Linked DNA regions of Caenorhabditis elegans. The protein of the gene in region 3 interacts with the protein of the main gene of each other region in a pairwise test. Each region holds a gene or a part of one and is shown on either strand. Other genes may lie near its edges. The genes, in order: ufl-1, daf-3 and ufm-1.

Region 1 (6,625 bases), on a different chromosome or scaffold from region 3:
TCCATAAATAAATATATTTTTATCTAAAAACTATGAAAATTCGAAGGAAATTTAAATTACAGTACTGCTTAAAGGCGCATACCTTTTCGAACTCCACAAAAATTGTCGTTCCGAGATTGAAAATCGAATCGTTTTTTGGAGCAAAAATCGCTAAATTTCGGTTTATCTGATCTTACCCGATGCGTCAGCCACTTTCATTGAAATAATTGTTCCCGTCTGTGTTCTGCGATGAATCCCTTAAAATTTATTCATTTTTATAAATTCTTTCTGAAAATCAAAGGATACCTGGATCTAGAACAATTACAGTAACCGAAAACGAATTCATGTTTGGCTGCAATTGGTGGAGAGGTATGTCACCGGACATCTGAAGAAGATAAATTCAAAAAAATTGAGTTATGAAGTTTTTCGAGGATTAAACTTTGCTGTGAATATTAATCAAAATCTACAGCAGAAGAGATCCGAGCACAACGACCATCAAAATTTGCGATCTATTGAAAAGTAATTGAAATTGGGCTGTTTATGAAAGCTACCTTCTGACTAAAAAAACAATTACAGATTTAATTTTAACAGAATAAAACACGTGCAATACATTCATATTTCAGTTCTCAATAAATTAATTAAACAAGTTATACGAATTATTTCGATATTATGGCATAATTGACTGTTTCAGACTAGAAATATCATTAACGAGCATTTCTTTGGCCACTTCGTCGCCCTTGTTCTTGATGCAAGTAACTACGCCTTTTTGGCATGCCTGAAGTAGGTCGAAGACATTCTGGAAATAGATATTCTGATAGATATATAGATGTTTAGTATTCTATTACCTCGGGGCATAAATCCTTAATTTGAGCAACAAGTTGAGAAACAAACTTTCCGCTGGCAGTTGTTGGGCGTCCAGCCTTGGCTAAAATATAAAGAACAGACAGAAGAAGAGTTGTTGCTGGCTCCGTTTGAGAACAAAGTTGCTCATGAAGTTCCGCTGTAATTTTAGCTCCAACTTCGGCTCTGAAAAAATTTGTTTTTTTTTAAATTTTAAATGTCACTTTTTTTCTAAAAAAAATATACTTGAAATTGTGAAACAATTTCAATTTCGATCAATAATATTTAAAAATTGCAAAATTATTCGTATTTCGCTTTTTTTTTCAAAAAATTCGAATTCAGCCCTGTTTCCAGCAGCTGCGACAAATTTTGAAATTTAAAATTTTAGCTTATTTTTTTCCAAAATTTTAACTCACTATAAATAATTTTTAGATATTTTTTGGAAAGAATTATGAAAATAATTTTACCTTCCTTTCTTGTCGACTTTTTTCAGTGCCAACGAAGTTGCACTTGGAGCCGAACAATTATAAACAGCATCATGAAATTTATCCAAAGCATCATCATCTGTAGATTTCAGCGACGCAAACACTGATCGAATCGGATCTCTGAGCATTTCAGGAAGGTTTTCAATTGTTTCTTCTCGCTGTTTTTCCTTCAATTGGTGTGCATTATCTACTCCCATAACATATGAAAGCAACGCCAATGCAATTTCATTTCCAACTGTTTTCAGAAGATATTGCCGAAGATCTGAGCCAAGGGGATCTGAAATTCAAAATAAATTATTTTTCTATTCAGTTTTAAAGTTTTTTCTACCAGCAAAAGTGGAAGTAGCCGTCTCAAATGTGTTAAATGAATCGTAAAGTTGTCTACACTTATCGCCGATTGCAGACAATGACTTTTTGGAATTAGCGACGCTGGCAACCAATTGATGTGCTTGAATGTCTTGAACTTTTTTGCGAAGTAGCGTTGTTGTCTGAAACATAAAAATTATTTATTTCTGAAGAATCCATGAGATGGACCTCTTGATTCAACTTTTCCACAATTACTGAAAGAATTTCTTCGGGTACTGATTGACTTTCACGAAGCCATATTTCCAGTTCCTCACTATTTATGGAAATATTCGCCGACAAATTGGATGAAGTTGAAGGAGCAGACGATTTCGAACCACCTTTCACACTTTTTGCGTTTTTCTTTCCTCCTTTTCCACCTTTCTTTCCATCTCCCCAGTCATCCGTCTGAAAAATTAAATAGTTTTTTTTCAATTCAATTTGTATACCTCTTCTTGAACTTTCACTGCTGCCTTGGCTCCGCCTTGTTTCTTTTTCTCCGCTTCTAATCGATCAACTTCCTCATGTGCTCTGACGTCCAACAATTTGTCAATTGAACGCAGAGCTTCAGTCAAAACTGCTCCCTTGAACACAAAACCCTCTGCAAAATGCGAATCTTTTTCCACATTTGCAACTTTTGACCCGATTTCATCCTCATCAGCAGTATCTAGAGGAAGATTTAGAGATTGAAGAGCCAAATGCACGTCGGATATTCCGCTTTTTTGTAAGTCTTCTGAAAATTTAAAAATTCAATTAAGTAATAAAATTCAAAACAATTAAACAAAAAACCTTGAACAGCATTAATACATTGATCCATGAGTTCTTTTGTCATAAACATAGATCTCATACTGACAAGTTTTTTGAATTCAGATGATCCAAGAACTTCTTCGAGAGCTGGTTTTGCATCTACTCCTAGAGTTTTTAGAGTTGAAATTTCTGGAATTTAAAGAAATTAAAAGATAAACAAATAGATGATCATACCTAAAAATTCATTCTGTCTATATTGATTCAAAACGCACGACTTCACAAGATGATCGTACATCATTGGACGATACGAGCAGGAAGGTGATGTACGAGAACCGATTAAAGTACCAGGAATTTCGCCGAGAGATTGAAGATTTTCGAACGCAATCCAAAATCGTTTCGGTGTGAGACCAACTCGTTTTTGGATAGTTGAAATAGGAGTGATTCTGTTTGGAAAAAACATTATTTGAACGGCAATGGAAAACAGATTCTCACTTAGTTAATGCAATCAGAATAGCGCGTAGAACCAATTGTCTGGCATTCAAAAATGAAGAAGTATAGATCGTATCCCCATCAACCACTCCTTGAAAATCAGAAGATCCCAATTTTTCGATTAGCAAGGATTGCAAAAGTTCCGATGATAGATTCCAGTGCTTGCAGAGTGCTGCAGTTGTTTGATTTCCTTGCTCATCGAGAAGTGTACGCAATTCGTTACGAAGACGATGTACGTATTCACTGAAAATTTATATTTTTTGAGTGTTCAATGAACAAATGATTTTGTCGATTTGCAATTTGCAATCGACACGTAACAATAATGAAGTCAATGTGTTCTTCTTTGTTCTTTTCCGAACTTTAGGCCTATCTAAATCACGTGAATAAACTTGACCTACGTCGCGAATATCTCTGCATTCGAAATTGTAAATTCATCATCAGTCGAAACAATCAAGCGCGAAGTCTTCTCGATATGATCGAAATCTATGTTAAGAGCAACTGCGATATCAGTGAGAGAAGCACGTCCTCCAGCGGCTATGCACTCGTTTTTTATCTGAAAAATGGATTGATGAACTTGAAACTTTGGAAAATATTCAGCCTGTGTAATTTTCCAATTATTCTGCCAAAATACGGTAGCCGGTCTCGAAGCGACATTATTATCTTATACACAAAGAGCAACGCGCCTTTAAAGATTACTGTAATTATTCGTGTGTAGATAATATTTTCCAGATTTTCAAAACGTAAATGACACATTTTTGCTTACAAATATTTATTTAACTACTTTTTTCTGTGATACTTTATAATAAAAATTAATTGTTCTTCTTTCATATTTATTCCTAACCGTAAATTTATCCTCAATAACAAATCGAAAACCAAGGCTGCTGTCAAAATGAAAACATGATCACATGTTTTGCTGCTTCCAGTTTATTCTGTACTCACATTTCTGCATTTGTGTAAACATAAAAGTTCATTGCGGTCAACAAAAAGGCGGAGTTTGTGAGAAAAAAAAGAAAGAATAGATAGACATTTTTATTTTCTCAAACACTCAACAATGCCCAATCCATCTCCCGCAATTCTAATGCCAAAGTCTATATTAAAGAAACCTGATCAAGTGAGCCTAAGCTGTTTGGAATGTTAGTATTCTTTTAAAAAAAAGGAAATTTCAGAGCCAACACGAGTCACCATCAAATTCTCCAGTTTCTCCATCACCCCAAGAAGTTCCACGTGGCAAAAAAGAATGGTGGCTTCCATTTAATATACCATTTCATAATGAGATTTTTCGAAAAAATTCAGGGTTCTGAAATTTAAGAAACGACTACATATTGGTCTCATCTACCAATATTTTACTTTTATTTTCATTTTTTTTTTTTGAATAAAAAATTTCTGCCCTCTCACCTCAGTTTCCAAGTGGTTTTTAGTTACATAACTATGCCCATCTCTAGTATAGACCACGTCAATTCGATGAGAAGCGATAAGTTTTTGAAGGACTTCAATGCAATTCACCTCGGAGAGCCTTAAAGAATAATTTTTTAAAATTATTCTACAATTGAGAATTTTAGTGAAAAATTGTTAATACAGATGAGATAAATAATTAAATTTTTGATACTAAAACCTTATTAATTTTTTGTTGTTTTTAGGGCAAATGGTGTATGTGCTATCATTTAGTATCAAATATATAAAATGGCCAAGAATCAATGATATTTCTCACTTTTTAGATGATTGTGACAGTTGAACTCTCTGCAAATCTGATGCAAGTTTCTGAATATCTGCCCAGGAAGTCATCTGAAATATTTACCACTTTAATATATCAAATGAAAAAGAAAGAAAAAGAAATGAATCGATGGATTTTTAACCGAACTTTTAAGAAAGTGAACACAAATACGATGCTATACACTTTTTATTCCAATACCATGAACCCATATTAAGGCAATAGACGATTTTAAAGACTTCAACCCATTTGTTAAAATAAAATGTACATGTAAATAAATAATCACATAAAATTAATTCAAGCATTCCCCGCTTCTTCGTTCTGATTTTTCTCTTGTACAATCGCCGAACGTGCATCTTTGTCAAATCGATTGACGACTTCTTGTAATCCGGTGAGATCAGCTTGTGAGAATACAAGATTTTCCGCATAGCTCAGGAAATATTTAGCATCATGATAGATTTGTTGTTTGATTTTATCGTCATCAGTAACCGTGGAGCCAGAATCAGTTGTGGTTTTCCGTTTGAATCGGGATAAAGAAGATCCTGTAGCTTCGACACTATCCAGCACCTGAAAACAAATATTTTGTTGCAATTTGCATCAATTGGAGTGGTTTATAAACTTAGCGGGAAAAAAAATTATCTCATGTGTCCAAAATAAACGTTACCTCGTTCCCTTTCCCCACGAAATAATTGAATGCTGAAAGATTAACTTTTCGAACAATTTCATCGGTGTGAGGATGTTCTTCGCAGCTGAAAAAAATACGTACAAAATTTTGTGGAAGCAATATAAACTACCATAGTTTTTCTTTCAAATTCTCAACCATTTCAATAGCTGTAACAACATATTTGGAATGCGTTGTCGGTGGTGATTTCTTCGTCCATCTGTATTGTTTAGGAACATCGGAAACTTGAGCAATTTCTTGATGAAGAACTTCGGAGAACATTTCAATAATACTATCATCAATTTGAACACAAAGACTATCAATTGATCGACCATGCTTTGTTAGGCATTGACCGAATGGAGCGGTATCCACTGTGATATCACTGAAAAAATGATATCTAAATGTAAGTAAGTATTTAAATAAACGAACTGAAATTTTCCCCAAATTGACTCCAACGCGAAATCGAAAACCAATTGATGAAGATTTCCAGTATCCGAGCGGAGAGTAACCATTGAAGTCCAATCTCTTTTTTCTTCCATGAAATAACTAGAAAACAAAATATTTTTCGTGAAGAAGAACTTTTAATCTAACTTTTTCATAGTTTGACTCCACGAGAAATGCTTTAGCAAAAGCTTCAATGTGAAATCCCATAATTTATCAACAATAGGAGGAAGATACACATCATCACTCCACACATGCTCAATTGCTGTTATAATTGCTCTTGAAACTCCGCAGTGCAGCTGAGGAGTGTTTTCTCGATTTTCAGAAGTTTCTGGCTCGGCAAACATTTCGGGAGACATCAGCTGATCGCACTGTTTTCCGAATCGATGTGTTTCTAATTTAAAATAAACTAATAAATTGAATTTATCCCTGATCGACTTAAGCATTGCACGGCAGGTATGAGAAGATGGCCAATTATCGATAAATTCTTGAGTGAGCAAGAAACATTCATGGAAAAGTCGTGTGTCACTTGGGACTGCGACGGCTCCCATACACTGAAAATACAAATAATTATGAATATAAAAAGTTATGAACGGAAACCTTATCAATAAATGTCAGAATGAACGTGAGAAGGGTTTCGTCCAGAAAACGGCGGATGTTTCCACGAAAATGTTCAGTCCCCATTTTTTCAGCCCAAGTTTCACGCATTTTTTTGACGCTTTCGAAGACTTGTTTCAAGAGTTTCAACTGATTACTTTCGTCGTGTTTCTCATTTACAAATTCGGCATACAAAAGATCAGAAACCAAGAGGGCAGTTAGTGAATGCGTACTCTCCGTTAACGATAAAATTGAATAAATGAGAGGAAGATTTTGACAATCACCGGCGGCACTTCGAACTCCTTCTGCACAGAGAACCGCTTCCAGCTGAGATAG
Region 2 (8,081 bases), on a different chromosome or scaffold from region 3:
CGGGTACTTCATGCGGTTTTGAAGCCAAACACTCCCGTCTTTTTTGTAGGAAAAGCGAATTCCATCCACTATTGCTTTACTGAAACATTTCAATGGTTCAAAAGCTTTAAAAATTTGTGTTATTTCTTTAGTTAGAAAATTCATAAGCTGGAAACTATCGAACAACATTTCCGAATTTGGATTGGATTGTTACCCTGATACTGTCATTGCCCAAAAAATTGGATTGTAAAAAAAATTGTACCTATGTTCTATAATATATCAATAAGTTTCAGATTTACTTACCGAACTTTAAACGCCACTGGTTCTCTAATTGGATTTGGCTCAAGTCCGAGACTGTAACGATTCTCAGAGCAAATGAATCCGCCATCCACGTGGAAATTTCCTCTCGAACATTTTTTCTCGCCAATTTGCAAATTTTTCTCATAGTACACAATTGTTCCCCATTTTTCGTTCACTGAAAAAAGCAAGCAGTTTTTTTTTATGTTGTGAACATTTTAAATTTACTTGATCTTTTACATTTTTGGGTATTTATGTATTATATCCCCGTCGTTTTAAATGAAAGTTTTTAAGAAATAAAGCATGAAAACGTGTGGAAGATTTCTTGATGATAACCATTTCTAAATCTGAAGAAGATAATCCATATCACGTTTAATTTAAATAAAGTTATGAATGAAAATTTAATTTAATTTTATGTTGGCGGGGTATAATACATAATTACTCATTTTGTTTTCAATCACTAACACGATTTTTTAAAGTGAACTTTAGAGAGAAAAAAAAGAAACTTACAATCACTAACTTCTGGCCCCTCTCCTGAGAAAGTTACACTTTCTGATGTGAGCCTAAAAAATACTTGGCTTTTAATTCCATGAAAACTAGAACGAACCTCAAAATGAACTTGCAAATGTCATGATATGGTGCATCTTCCGGCATGATGTTCTCCAAAACCTCACCGTCTGTCATCCGCGGTCGAACAACTGTCACACCACAAATCGGCGAATCAAATTCCTAGAAAAAACACAATATTCTTGAATGAAAAACAAAAATCGTTTGTTTGATGATTCAGAAAGCAAAAAGTGACATTAAATTCAATATTTTGTTTGGCACCTTATCGACACAACTTATATGCGATAAGCTGTCAATCTTGAGTGACACGTACATAGTAGCTACATATTAGAAATACTTACTTCAATGAATTTGTTACTAGACCGAATTATTGCGCCGGATTGTTCACTTTCTCCTTCAAAAAATCGATTTCCAAATGTCTGTCTACAGTACCGACGGAACACGTCCAAGGTGACTGTTGATGGTTGTAACACTGTAATTGAGTTTACTTCAAGTTTTACAAATTTTAGGAATGAACTGAAAAGGCGACAAAAAAATGTATCATGTATGATGAAAAGTAAAATTGTTCGCAAAGCGGCTGTAGAAAATCTCTAAAAAAATGAGTTTTGAGAATCAAAATCACTGCTTTTAAACCAACTTCTTTATGCAATAAATCACCGACTATACAACTATAATCATACGCCTCGTGGTCTCAACTTGGCTATTTTTTTAGAAAATAAATCTGATAACTGATATGAAATTGGCAGGACACCTTTTCAAAATGTTGTAAGTTGGCATTTTCCAATCAATTTCAAATAAATTACATGTGTCTACCAGAAGAAGATATTTTGATGAGATCTAAAATAAAAAAACTGCAAAATGTTTATCGAAAAAAAAATTTGCAAAATTGATGCCTTTTCAAACCTACGTGCAAATTTAAAAGGCAAATATTTGAGGGGCTTCATCCTTTCTCGTTATTATCAAGTACTTATATTAGAATTTATGTATAAGGATTAAACTTAACATTAAATTTCCTGCAGAGATTTCTTGATTATTTTGCGAAAGAATATGAACTCTCAATACTATTCATAAAATTTTTTCATACTTAATTCTAGAGCAATTTAGTCAAAATTGTAAAAGCTGCACTTTTAGTGAAGTTTGAAAACGCTTCGTTTTCATCGGAAAAGGGCGAAAATCCAATAGAAAAATTCAAATAAGGCTCTGTTAATGGACATCCCAAAAAGGATTAAACTGCGGGAATTGGCTATGCACCTGTCCGCCTACTTATATTCTACCCCTTTATATAATGAGGTACCCATAAATAATATTTTGCCGTTTCTGGTTTGACACCTGGAGATATTAAACCTTTGTAAATCCATGCCTTGATAGGTGGCAGTATTGTGTGGCTGAGTGACTAAAATTATTAGCTCTCGGCTGGAACACCAAACCAGGGGTGAGCGGCAAACGATTTTTTCAGCCAAATCGGCAAATCGGCAAATTGCTTCAATTAAAATTTCCGTCAAATCGGCAAACCGGCTAATTGCCGGAATCGAAAATTTCCGGCGATTTGCTGAATTTGTGGACAAAAAAAATTGCCAAACGGCAATTGCCGCCCACCCTGACAGCGGACCGGCACATCCTGCCGACATCCGTTCAAAGTCGGAAATTTTCGGCAATCGACAATTCTTGCAATTGCGGCGTCCCTCTAGTTCAACCCTCATGCCTACTGTCAGAATAACTTTTTCTCCTTACAACAACTGTTTTTTTTTTAAATCATACGTACCTGGTCTTGAAATTGGTGGATCATTCGGTACCTGACCTTGGTGCCCTGGTTGATGACTGCCTTGTTGGGACGTATGGTTTTGTGATAGTTGTGGCGGCTGGTGTGGTTGCTGATTGAAAGGATGGTGAAAATCCGGATAAGGAGTTGGAAACCCGTACAAGTTCGGACCACAGTCGTAGGAATAGTGATTTGGATGGCTAATATCATTATAATGGTGATTTTGGTGGAATGGATTGTTGTTTTCTGAAGAGCAACTCGGCCCATTCATTCCATATCCCTGATGGAGAGGTGGTGGCATTTGTGGCATTTGCGGCATTTGCGGAATTGGGTTCATGTTCAACGGGTAATGGGTCTGTGGAGCAATGGAGTACGGATGTGAAACCCCTGGGTTATGTGGCGCCTGATGTGGGAGAGGATGGGCAAACGTTGCGCCAACTGAAGGCAATTGTTGAGGCATAGGCTGAGGCCTTGTGTGCATGTTCATCGGAGGCGGACGAATGGAAGCTGGTGGTATAAATCTACTCATATCGTCAACTGGATCCTGCCGACCTGGAGTGTGGTAGCGTTGATGTGGCGGCGGCATATCTCGATTGTCATGATCCCTCTGCCCAACAATCATAGTTCCAATGACAATTTCGTAGTGATAGGGATTCACGCATACCTGTAAGGCCTAATATTCATATTAAAACTTTTAAAAGTCACATCTTCTCAACATTAGGCAATCAACTTAATCAAACAAAGGTCACAGAGTTAACCGAATAAGGGAAGAAGCTAACATGTGCCACATCACATCAAAGGAAAAATGAAACAATTCACACTTACTTCACCTACCATGTCACTTTTCATTTCAAATGCGTGCTTGCAGTGGTCCACATGACGCGTTTCGTTTTTTGTCATTTCATTAAACCTCCACAGTTTGCCATAGACTACGTGAGGGAAACCTTTTCTTCCGTGGACCTGTAATTTGTATGGAGTTTGTGGGTACTTTGATATCATAAGCTGGTCTAATACAAGTTTCATAATGAAACGTCTCAAAATAAATTCCAAAACTTTTAAAAGTCGGATCATTTATCTAGCGTAGGTTCGTTGAAAGATCATAATTTAATGTCTATAGGCTCAAAATGTGTCCTAGAAATTTTTTTTGATCTCACCTGTAACCGGCCATCAAGTGTCCTTGGAATTGTAATGCAACCGGTATATTTTGTACCTTTTGAAAGAACCACATCAATCAGGTTCTGGAGATCATTCTTCTTATCCTTCAATTTTTTCACCAGGGACTCGCAAGCTTTTTGGTCGAACTCTCGATCAATATTGTTTTTGACCAAGTTCAACGATAATCGATTTCGTTTTGTCCGATACGCATTCAGTTGTATGAGTTCACTTTCTTTTAACTGAAAATGCAATATTGTAATCAGTACTACAAACTTAAGTATTTACCGTTCTATAATACATCAAATATTCTACAATTTTGTTTGGCGGCGCACTAGCGTCGGGAACTTCGATCTTTTTCCGTGCTTCATCTACTGCTGGTTTTCCAAGCTTCAACACATCCAAATCGTACTCGGTCATATTTGTGTTTTTTGTGTCAACTGAAAATATATTAAGTTCTTTTGCTCACACTTTTTTTGCCACTTACATAAATCTGGATCCGGGTAGTTGACACCATCTTCCGGGTCATCATCCTGACTGTCTGGATCCAAATATGGCGGGATTTCCATTTTAATACCACTCCGTTGTAGAATCTTTGTAGTTGTATTCACTGGTGACATCATCGGTGTGTGCTCGTCGGGAACTAGAAGAGAAGTTGCTATTAGCTTCATGGTCAGAGAGAAATAAGGTTTGATAAGCAACGAAATTTGGCAACAATTCGCTTATCAATACGTGTGTTAGTGACTGCCAGACGGTAAACATCATGAGGTTCGTGTTGAAATTTTAGATTTTTTGTTGGCAACAAATTCTTTTGAACCTTCTATTGCACCATTTATGCATCATATTCAACGTTTTTTTTTATTTTCAAGCTATACTACTATGTTCGACGTTATTTACCTTCAGTTTTCGGAGTGATTAGCTTCAACCCGCCATTGAATGCCAATGACTTGTTGGCATCACGAGGTGGTTTCGTGTCCAATGTGATTATTGGTTTAAATTCTGAATTTCAGTTTGAAATGTAAAATTTAAAAAGCAACAAAACGGGGAAGGTTTTTAAAACAAAAAGGAAAATAAGCATATCAAACCAACACAAACCACCATACACCACGACTACTAATCACGTAGGGAAATTGATTTGGTTTTCACTAGATTTCAGTGTTTTACAGAGTTTGCATTACTTGAAAGTTTAAAAAAAATTGAAATTTGAAAATAGAAAGCGAGAATTAGGCAACTGTTAGAAATGCTACGATTTTATTTGCAATTAGAAATACCTTTTTAAATTGATAATGTTGCAGTTTTGCAGCTAATACCAAGGTTGTTTCAGAGTATTCTATGGACAAAATTGCATGTATAACTATTTTTGGTACTTGTGTATTATGCTTCCGCTATTTTAGAAATTAATTTTTTAACTTATAAAATAAAAACTTATAAAACTCGTATTTACCATTCCTGAGCCCAACGAAGAAAATAGATATCAAGTTTAATTTAAATAGATAAATTAATGAAAAATTGATTAATTTCAAAAATAGCGGGAACAAGTACCCTATTTTTTATTTGGTATTTTTTGAGTGCAAAATTAATTTTCAATGTAAGTAGATATAAGAGAATGTAAGAGAATTTTGAGTTCCGCACTACTCGTTGCCACCTTAAAATACTAAAATTTTCTCTAGAAATGTACTAGATTAGTATGTACAAAATTAATAGAAACTGCAAGGCTATTTTCCAACTAGTCACTTCGGGTGCAAGACTAATTGGAAAAAGAAGATGTCTGTTAACTTATCAACATTTGTTCTACTACCAAAATAAGCGATTTTCTGAATAATTCGAATCTATTTTAATTGATATTTTATATCCAACACGACACTCCAAACACTTCACTCCTATAGCTACTATTTAAACTCACCATTAGCCATATTTCCTACATTGAGCAGATTAAAACCTGCTCCAGCCCCGAGCAGGTTCCTCTCATATTCCTCTACATCAGGAATATCTTCCAATCCATGAGAAGGTTTTCCACCATAAAGCGGCCCTCCGGTGCTGGTACCGGGCTGAGAATAGTTGAACTGTGGCGGGATGGAGGTACCGGGAAGGCCTGTAAGTTGGGATATGGACTATGGAATTGGTTTTTTTTTCAAAACTGAAACAGAAGATCCTGTTTTTTTATTCAAACTGTAACTTTTTTTTAAATAACATTCCGAAAATAAAGTAATTTCAATAAAACAAAAACTCACCCGTTAAATTATGATGATCACCCATTTATGTGTACTCTGACTATTAATATTTTTCCTTTACAATTTGATTACCTGTAAAATTGAGTTTTGGAATAAAATTAAAACAACAAGGAAAAACCGGGCGGCAAAGAAGTAGGAAATACAATACCAGCATGGACAATAAAAGGTACAAACTGTGGTATAAACCTGTTTGTCTTTTTTTTTTGAAATATCATGTTTCGTGGTATTTTTGGGAATAAAGGGAGATTGTGTTTATAGGGGAAAAAAAAAGTTGAGAAAAACTTTAATTGTAAAGCTTGATATTTTGAGCTACTGTCAAGATTTTTTGGTGTTTTCAGTAAAAACATATTCAGAAAGGAAAACCAAAAAACCACAGATTTAACTTTTAAAAAATATTATGATTTCGAAAAGAAAATTGAAAAGAATTGTGTTAATAGGAACTTGTTTGGAATCAATTTAAGAGAAATAAAAAAAAGAACGTGTTCAAATACGGGGTATTAAAAGTAATTTTTGACAGTCTATTAATAATAATAATTGACAATTCGAAAATAAAAATAAAAATATCCCAAATTAAAAAAAAAAGATCGAAACCAAACCACTACTTGTTTCTTCGTCTTCTATCTCTTTTTCTCGTTACGCACACTCTATCTCGCTCACTCTTAAACTACGTACGTGTGTCTGCGTCTCTTCGCCCAGCACACTATTTCATTGCTAAAAGTGTGTTGAGGTGGCAGTGCTCGCTGCAAAGAATCGATAAGTTGAGCGTAGTTGGACCAACAAGTGAGAAGACGGGGGGAATAAGATAATGAGGGAACAAGTAGAGAGCTACAAGAGAGTGCACATGACCTCGGTTTGATGTTTTGATCTTTTTTTACTGAAAAAAGAGATTGATAAGAAACTTACAAAAAACCTCTCGTGCAAAACAAAGGAAAAAAAGAACTTCAAGCGTTTTTACCTAAATAATTGTTTTTTTTTATAAGGGTAGTTTGACCTATGCTAAGCATAAAATAGTGAGCTAACTAGAAAAAATAAGTGGTAGACCTACATTGTAAGTACTCAAACATCACAATTTTTAAAAAAAGATCTACAAAATGTATAGATCACTTTCTAGATGACTCATATATATTTTTTGTTTTCACTGGTCTCATCTCAGTTTGATTTTTTGAAATCTCGCCAAATTGATGCGTGTGATATCAGAATGTTTTGTATTAGATTTGTGCAATTGTTTCAGCGAAAAAAACGCTCAAATTTTGTGACCAAAACTGTGTCATAATTAATTAACAAGAAACCACTGAACTATTTGAACATAAACAGAAAAAAAAAGTTGGCTAGTCATTTGCTTTTGGCGAAAAAATTTTGTTTGCATTGATGAAAGTTCATTAGTTTGATCAAGCGGTCAAAAAAAACCGCAAATATTTGAATGAAATCCGTAGATACAATGTGGGCCGAAGGTCAGAGAGACCATGGCATTTTTCAGATAATTTTTTTTTATTGAAAAGGTGGCCACCATAATTCTGAAAAAAAAACCGCGTCTACAGAGAGTATTCAAAAAAAGTTAAATTTTTTTTGTAAAGTTGAAATAACAAATTTTGCCCAATTTAGTTATAACTGTTAAAAATTTGTGGTAGACATTTTAAACAAGAGGAATAAGAGAAATTTATATGAAAGTCGTTAAGGCATTTTTCATTGCACAAAAACTTACAAGATTAAAAAAATTACAATCTCACAGTCCAAACAATCAAAAAACAAATTCAACTAAAGAATCGCGTGATCTTAGCCTTGAAACCGTCAATTATTAACACCTCTAGTACTATAAAAGCGATGGTTTTTCAAAAGATTTTATCGTGAAAGATATCACAGCAGAAACAAAAAGTTCAATTTTTATTGAAGACACTTTTCTTGTACTCTAAACTTGTGAACACGGAATTTTAAAATGTTTACAGAGGCATATAAGATATGTGGAGCATTCATAAAATTTTCTTTAAGAAATGGGGATTTAAAAACTATTCATTAATTTATAACAAAAATCTGATATGATTGTGTTTTGAAAAAATATACTATTTCCACTCTAATGTTTCATTTTCATTCCTCCTCCC
Region 3 (3,138 bases):
GATCTGAAATATGAATTCTTAAATCTTTGAATTGAAAGCATAGGTGTTTTTGGTAAAACTTAAACTTTTGACAAATAAATTAAAAAATAATTGGCAGCGTCTCGCATGCAATTGTTCTATTTACACAACGAGAAACTTGTAAAGAAAATGCGGTATCTATATAAATGTTTGAATCTTGTGTATTATGGGACGCATTTTTTATTTATTACGCTCTCTCGGAGACGTGATTTTAAAACTAAATGTTTCTTTTTCTAGTTTTTACCTGTCCATTTGGCATTGGCTCAGCGCCTTTCTTAAATCCAAGGTAGACCACAAACGGCACGAATCCCCATTGGATTGCAAATGTGGAAATATCGACTGTCTTACCGATGAAAGACTTGGTAGCTGGGGAGAGCTTCATCTTAAATAAAATAATATAAGACTAAAAGTAAAGTAGTTTTAAAAAAGTAAGATAAAATGCGGAAGAGCAACCAGTATTGATAAATTGATTGAACAAGTTTGAGAAAAAAGCTTCATAGCGTACTTTGGAAAGGGGAATTTCAATAAATTAATATTTAGAAGAATTTAGATATTCAAATCTGACTTAGCGAGTTTAGGATAGAAATGCACAGAGACATCACATTTTGTAAAAATAATTATGTCATAATACAGGAATGTAGACAACAATTGGCTTATGCTCAATGGCCGACGCGATCACGTGGAATCAGACGAAGTTCACTTCCGTGCTTCAAAAAAATGTTTCCGGCAGGTTGAGCTGGATTGACGCCAACTCCGTCGTTCGTAATGATTGCTGATGTAGCCGCAGGGACCTTGAATTCTTCAGCGGCAAACTTGAGAACGGCGGTGAATGGGGTACTTTCCGGCACGGAGAGGCTGAAAAATTAATGCATGACGCAAAACTCCAAATCAAAAGTAAACCGAAAATTTAAATATAAAAACTTACACCTTGAATGGGAGCTTCGGATCACTTGTTAGAGTGATTTTGAAGGTCACCTTGGAACCGGCAGTTGTTGCTGCTGTTCCACCCGACATTCCTGAAAATCTCTCGCATAAAATCAATAATAATCGTCCAGTTTGTTTGAAAAATTGTTTTTTAAAAAGTCGAACAAATTGATAAAGAAAAGGACATAACAGAAATGCACAAAATAACCTGAAAAACTGAAAAACAATAGGAGAGAAAAACTGGAAAAATGCCAAGTGTCTCTTACAAAACTCGGCCACTTGACGGAACCTAGGCCAGTGATGGCGTGATCAAGAACTATAATATAATTCAATTATTTTTCATATGTTAAAGTTCGAGTGAAATTTAAATGAAGATTGTAGTTCGAACGCTAGTATTTAGTGTACAAATACCACAAAAACGAGAAATACGTCTCTTCAAAATTCATTATGGAGTGATGGCCTAGGAATCTCCACGGGAAAATGCGGTAGAATATTTCTTGCAAGAACTTTCAGAGTATCGTGATTTTTATCACTTAATTTATCATTCAACTTCGCAATTAAGTTCTCAAAATTTTCTCATCTTTTGTCCGAATTAAAACTCATTTATTTTCAGAATGAAAGGAGCAACAAACTTATTTAAAAGCATGAGAAAACCTACGAACGTTGGAAATTTCCGGCAGTTTTCGGTGAATCAAGTCAATTCAGATAATAAACGGTCAGAGCCCGGAAAGAAAACACATTTTGGATTCACTGACGTTGATGAGGCAGAGAAGGAGCAGAAAGGTTAGCTGTTCGATTCAGAAACGTAAAAAAGCTGATAGCCACAAATAATAATCACAAAGTTCTCTACATAAAATAAGCCCTTTTCCAACACATCTATATAATTTACTGATACTATATGTCTTTTTTTAGTTCACCACGTCTTCGCAAACGTCGCGAAAAAGTACGATTTGATGAATGATGCAATGAGCATGGGAGTTCACCGATTATGGAAAGACTATTATGTTGGTGGCCTGCAAGTACCGTATAATGCGAAATGTCTGGATATGGCAGGAGGAACCGGGGATATCGCTTTCAGAATTCTCAGACATTCGCCTACCGCAAAAGTGACAGTTTCCGATATTAATCAACCAATGCTCGATGTTGGAAAAAAACGAGCGGAGAAGGAGAGAGATGTAATTGTTTTTGAAAAAATTCCATATCCTTAATGTATTACTTCAGATCCAACCATCTCGCGCGGAATGGGTATGCGCTAACGCCGAGCAAATGCCATTTGAGTCGAACACTTACGATCTGTTCACAATGTCCTTCGGAATCAGAAATTGTACACACCCTGAAAAGGTTGTTCGTGAAGCTTTTCGTGTACTCAAACCTGGAGGTCAACTTGCTATTTTGGAGTTCTCAGAAGTGAATTCTGCACTGAAACCAATTTACGATGCATACTCCTTCAATGTGATCCCGGTTCTTGGAGAAATTCTTGCCAGTGATCGTGCCAGTTATCAATATTTGGTTGAGAGTATTCGTAAATTCCCGAATCAAGACGAGTTTGCAAGAATAATTAGAGAAGAAGGCTTTAGTAATGTTCGATACGAGAATTTGACATTTGGAGTGTGCTCGATTCATAAGGGGATGAAACCAAGAAAATAATTTATTCCTGTTTGTTTGTTCTTTTTAAAATTTCATTTAATTCCATTTTTCTAGGTGATATTCAGTATTTTTCGTGTAGAATTTTTGCATAAATTTAATTAAAGTTGTTATATTTGTATTTCCTGACATCTATGATTCCGTGGTTTATTCCCGTTGTTACTCAAAAAATCTGAAAAAATTCATGTTTATTCCAACAATTTCAGATATGAAACTTCGAAGTGCTATTCAGCACAGTGTAAGAAACTTTTCCGCTGGGAAAGTCTTACTGTCAAGGTAATTTATAGATGATTTCAGACTCGATAATCATCATTTTTAAGATTCAGAAGCGCCACAACGCCAATATTGAAAGAAATTGGACTTCTCTTGCCATCAACTAATAAACCAACATTTGAAGCTGGACAAGTTGGTTGACTCAATCCAGTTATTTTGCAAAAATATTAAATTGCAGATTTTCATTCACAAAACATTTGCTTACAAAGGAGTCGTTGTTTGCTCTTTTCCATGTAGATTACATGAAAAAAGAAGTCAACAAAAGTAAGTAGCAATAAA

The links.
Region 1: the proteins of ufm-1 (region 3) and ufl-1 interact in a two-hybrid assay, tested with the Caenorhabditis elegans proteins (one study listed by BioGRID).
Region 2: the proteins of ufm-1 (region 3) and daf-3 interact in a two-hybrid assay, tested with the Caenorhabditis elegans proteins (one study listed by BioGRID).

Annotation. Positions count from the first base shown.
Region 1 is NC_003282.8:7,032,196-7,038,820, forward strand, and holds ufl-1 (E3 UFM1-protein ligase 1 homolog), read right to left. Parts: upstream 4,665-6,625; coding exon 4,591-4,664; intron 4,396-4,590; coding exon 4,278-4,395; intron 4,277-4,277; exon of another isoform or gene 4,184-4,276; coding exon of another isoform or gene 4,049-4,183; intron 3,994-4,048; coding exon of another isoform or gene 3,934-3,993; exon of another isoform or gene 3,928-3,933; intron 3,436-3,927; coding exon 3,281-3,435; intron 3,126-3,280; coding exon 2,886-3,125; intron 2,837-2,885; coding exon 2,628-2,836; intron 2,583-2,627; coding exon 2,436-2,582; intron 2,380-2,435; coding exon 2,096-2,379; intron 2,055-2,095; coding exon 1,839-2,054; intron 1,793-1,838; coding exon 1,633-1,792; intron 1,582-1,632; coding exon 1,287-1,581; intron 1,006-1,286; coding exon 825-1,005; intron 776-824; coding exon 647-775; 3' UTR 501-646; downstream 1-500. Other genes in the region: nabp-1 (OB domain-containing protein), read right to left, coding at 177-236, 286-364; C06G3.3 (uncharacterized protein), read left to right, coding at 3,934-3,993, 4,049-4,183; cogc-2 (Conserved oligomeric Golgi complex subunit 2), read right to left, coding at 4,888-5,157, 5,255-5,339, 5,385-5,633, 5,681-5,797, 5,843-6,246, 6,293-6,625. UniProt on the Caenorhabditis elegans protein: E3 UFM1-protein ligase that mediates ufmylation of target proteins.
Region 2 is NC_003284.9:819,417-827,497, forward strand, and holds the start of daf-3 (Smad protein daf-3), read right to left. Parts: upstream 6,011-8,081; coding exon 5,986-6,010; intron 5,847-5,985; coding exon 5,658-5,846; intron 4,754-5,657; coding exon 4,652-4,753; intron 4,431-4,651; exon of another isoform or gene 4,426-4,430; coding exon of another isoform or gene 4,398-4,425; coding exon 4,242-4,397; intron 4,195-4,241; coding exon 4,043-4,194; intron 3,997-4,042; coding exon 3,757-3,996; intron 3,563-3,756; coding exon 3,428-3,562; intron 3,276-3,427; coding exon of another isoform or gene 3,267-3,275; coding exon 2,606-3,266; intron 1,316-2,605; coding exon 1,185-1,315; intron 1,006-1,184; coding exon 884-1,005; intron 840-883; coding exon 787-839; intron 455-786; coding exon 283-454; intron 80-282; coding exon 1-79. UniProt on the Caenorhabditis elegans protein: Transcriptional regulator and common SMAD (co-SMAD), required to regulate entry into a developmentally arrested larval state known as dauer, in response to harsh environmental conditions.
Region 3 is NC_003281.10:7,856,875-7,860,012, reverse strand, and holds ufm-1 (Ubiquitin-fold modifier 1), read right to left. Parts: upstream 1,035-3,138; 5' UTR 1,033-1,034; coding exon 944-1,032; intron 874-943; coding exon 678-873; 3' UTR 501-677; downstream 1-500. Other genes in the region: tomm-7 (Mitochondrial import receptor subunit TOM7 homolog), read right to left, coding at 1-3, 263-400; coq-5 (2-methoxy-6-polyprenyl-1,4-benzoquinol methylase, mitochondrial), read left to right, coding at 1,557-1,725, 1,855-2,117, 2,164-2,589; tag-307 (ApaG domain-containing protein), read left to right, coding at 2,771-2,862, 2,907-2,991, 3,038-3,123. UniProt on the Caenorhabditis elegans protein: Ubiquitin-like modifier which can be covalently attached via an isopeptide bond to substrate proteins as a monomer or a lysine-linked polymer.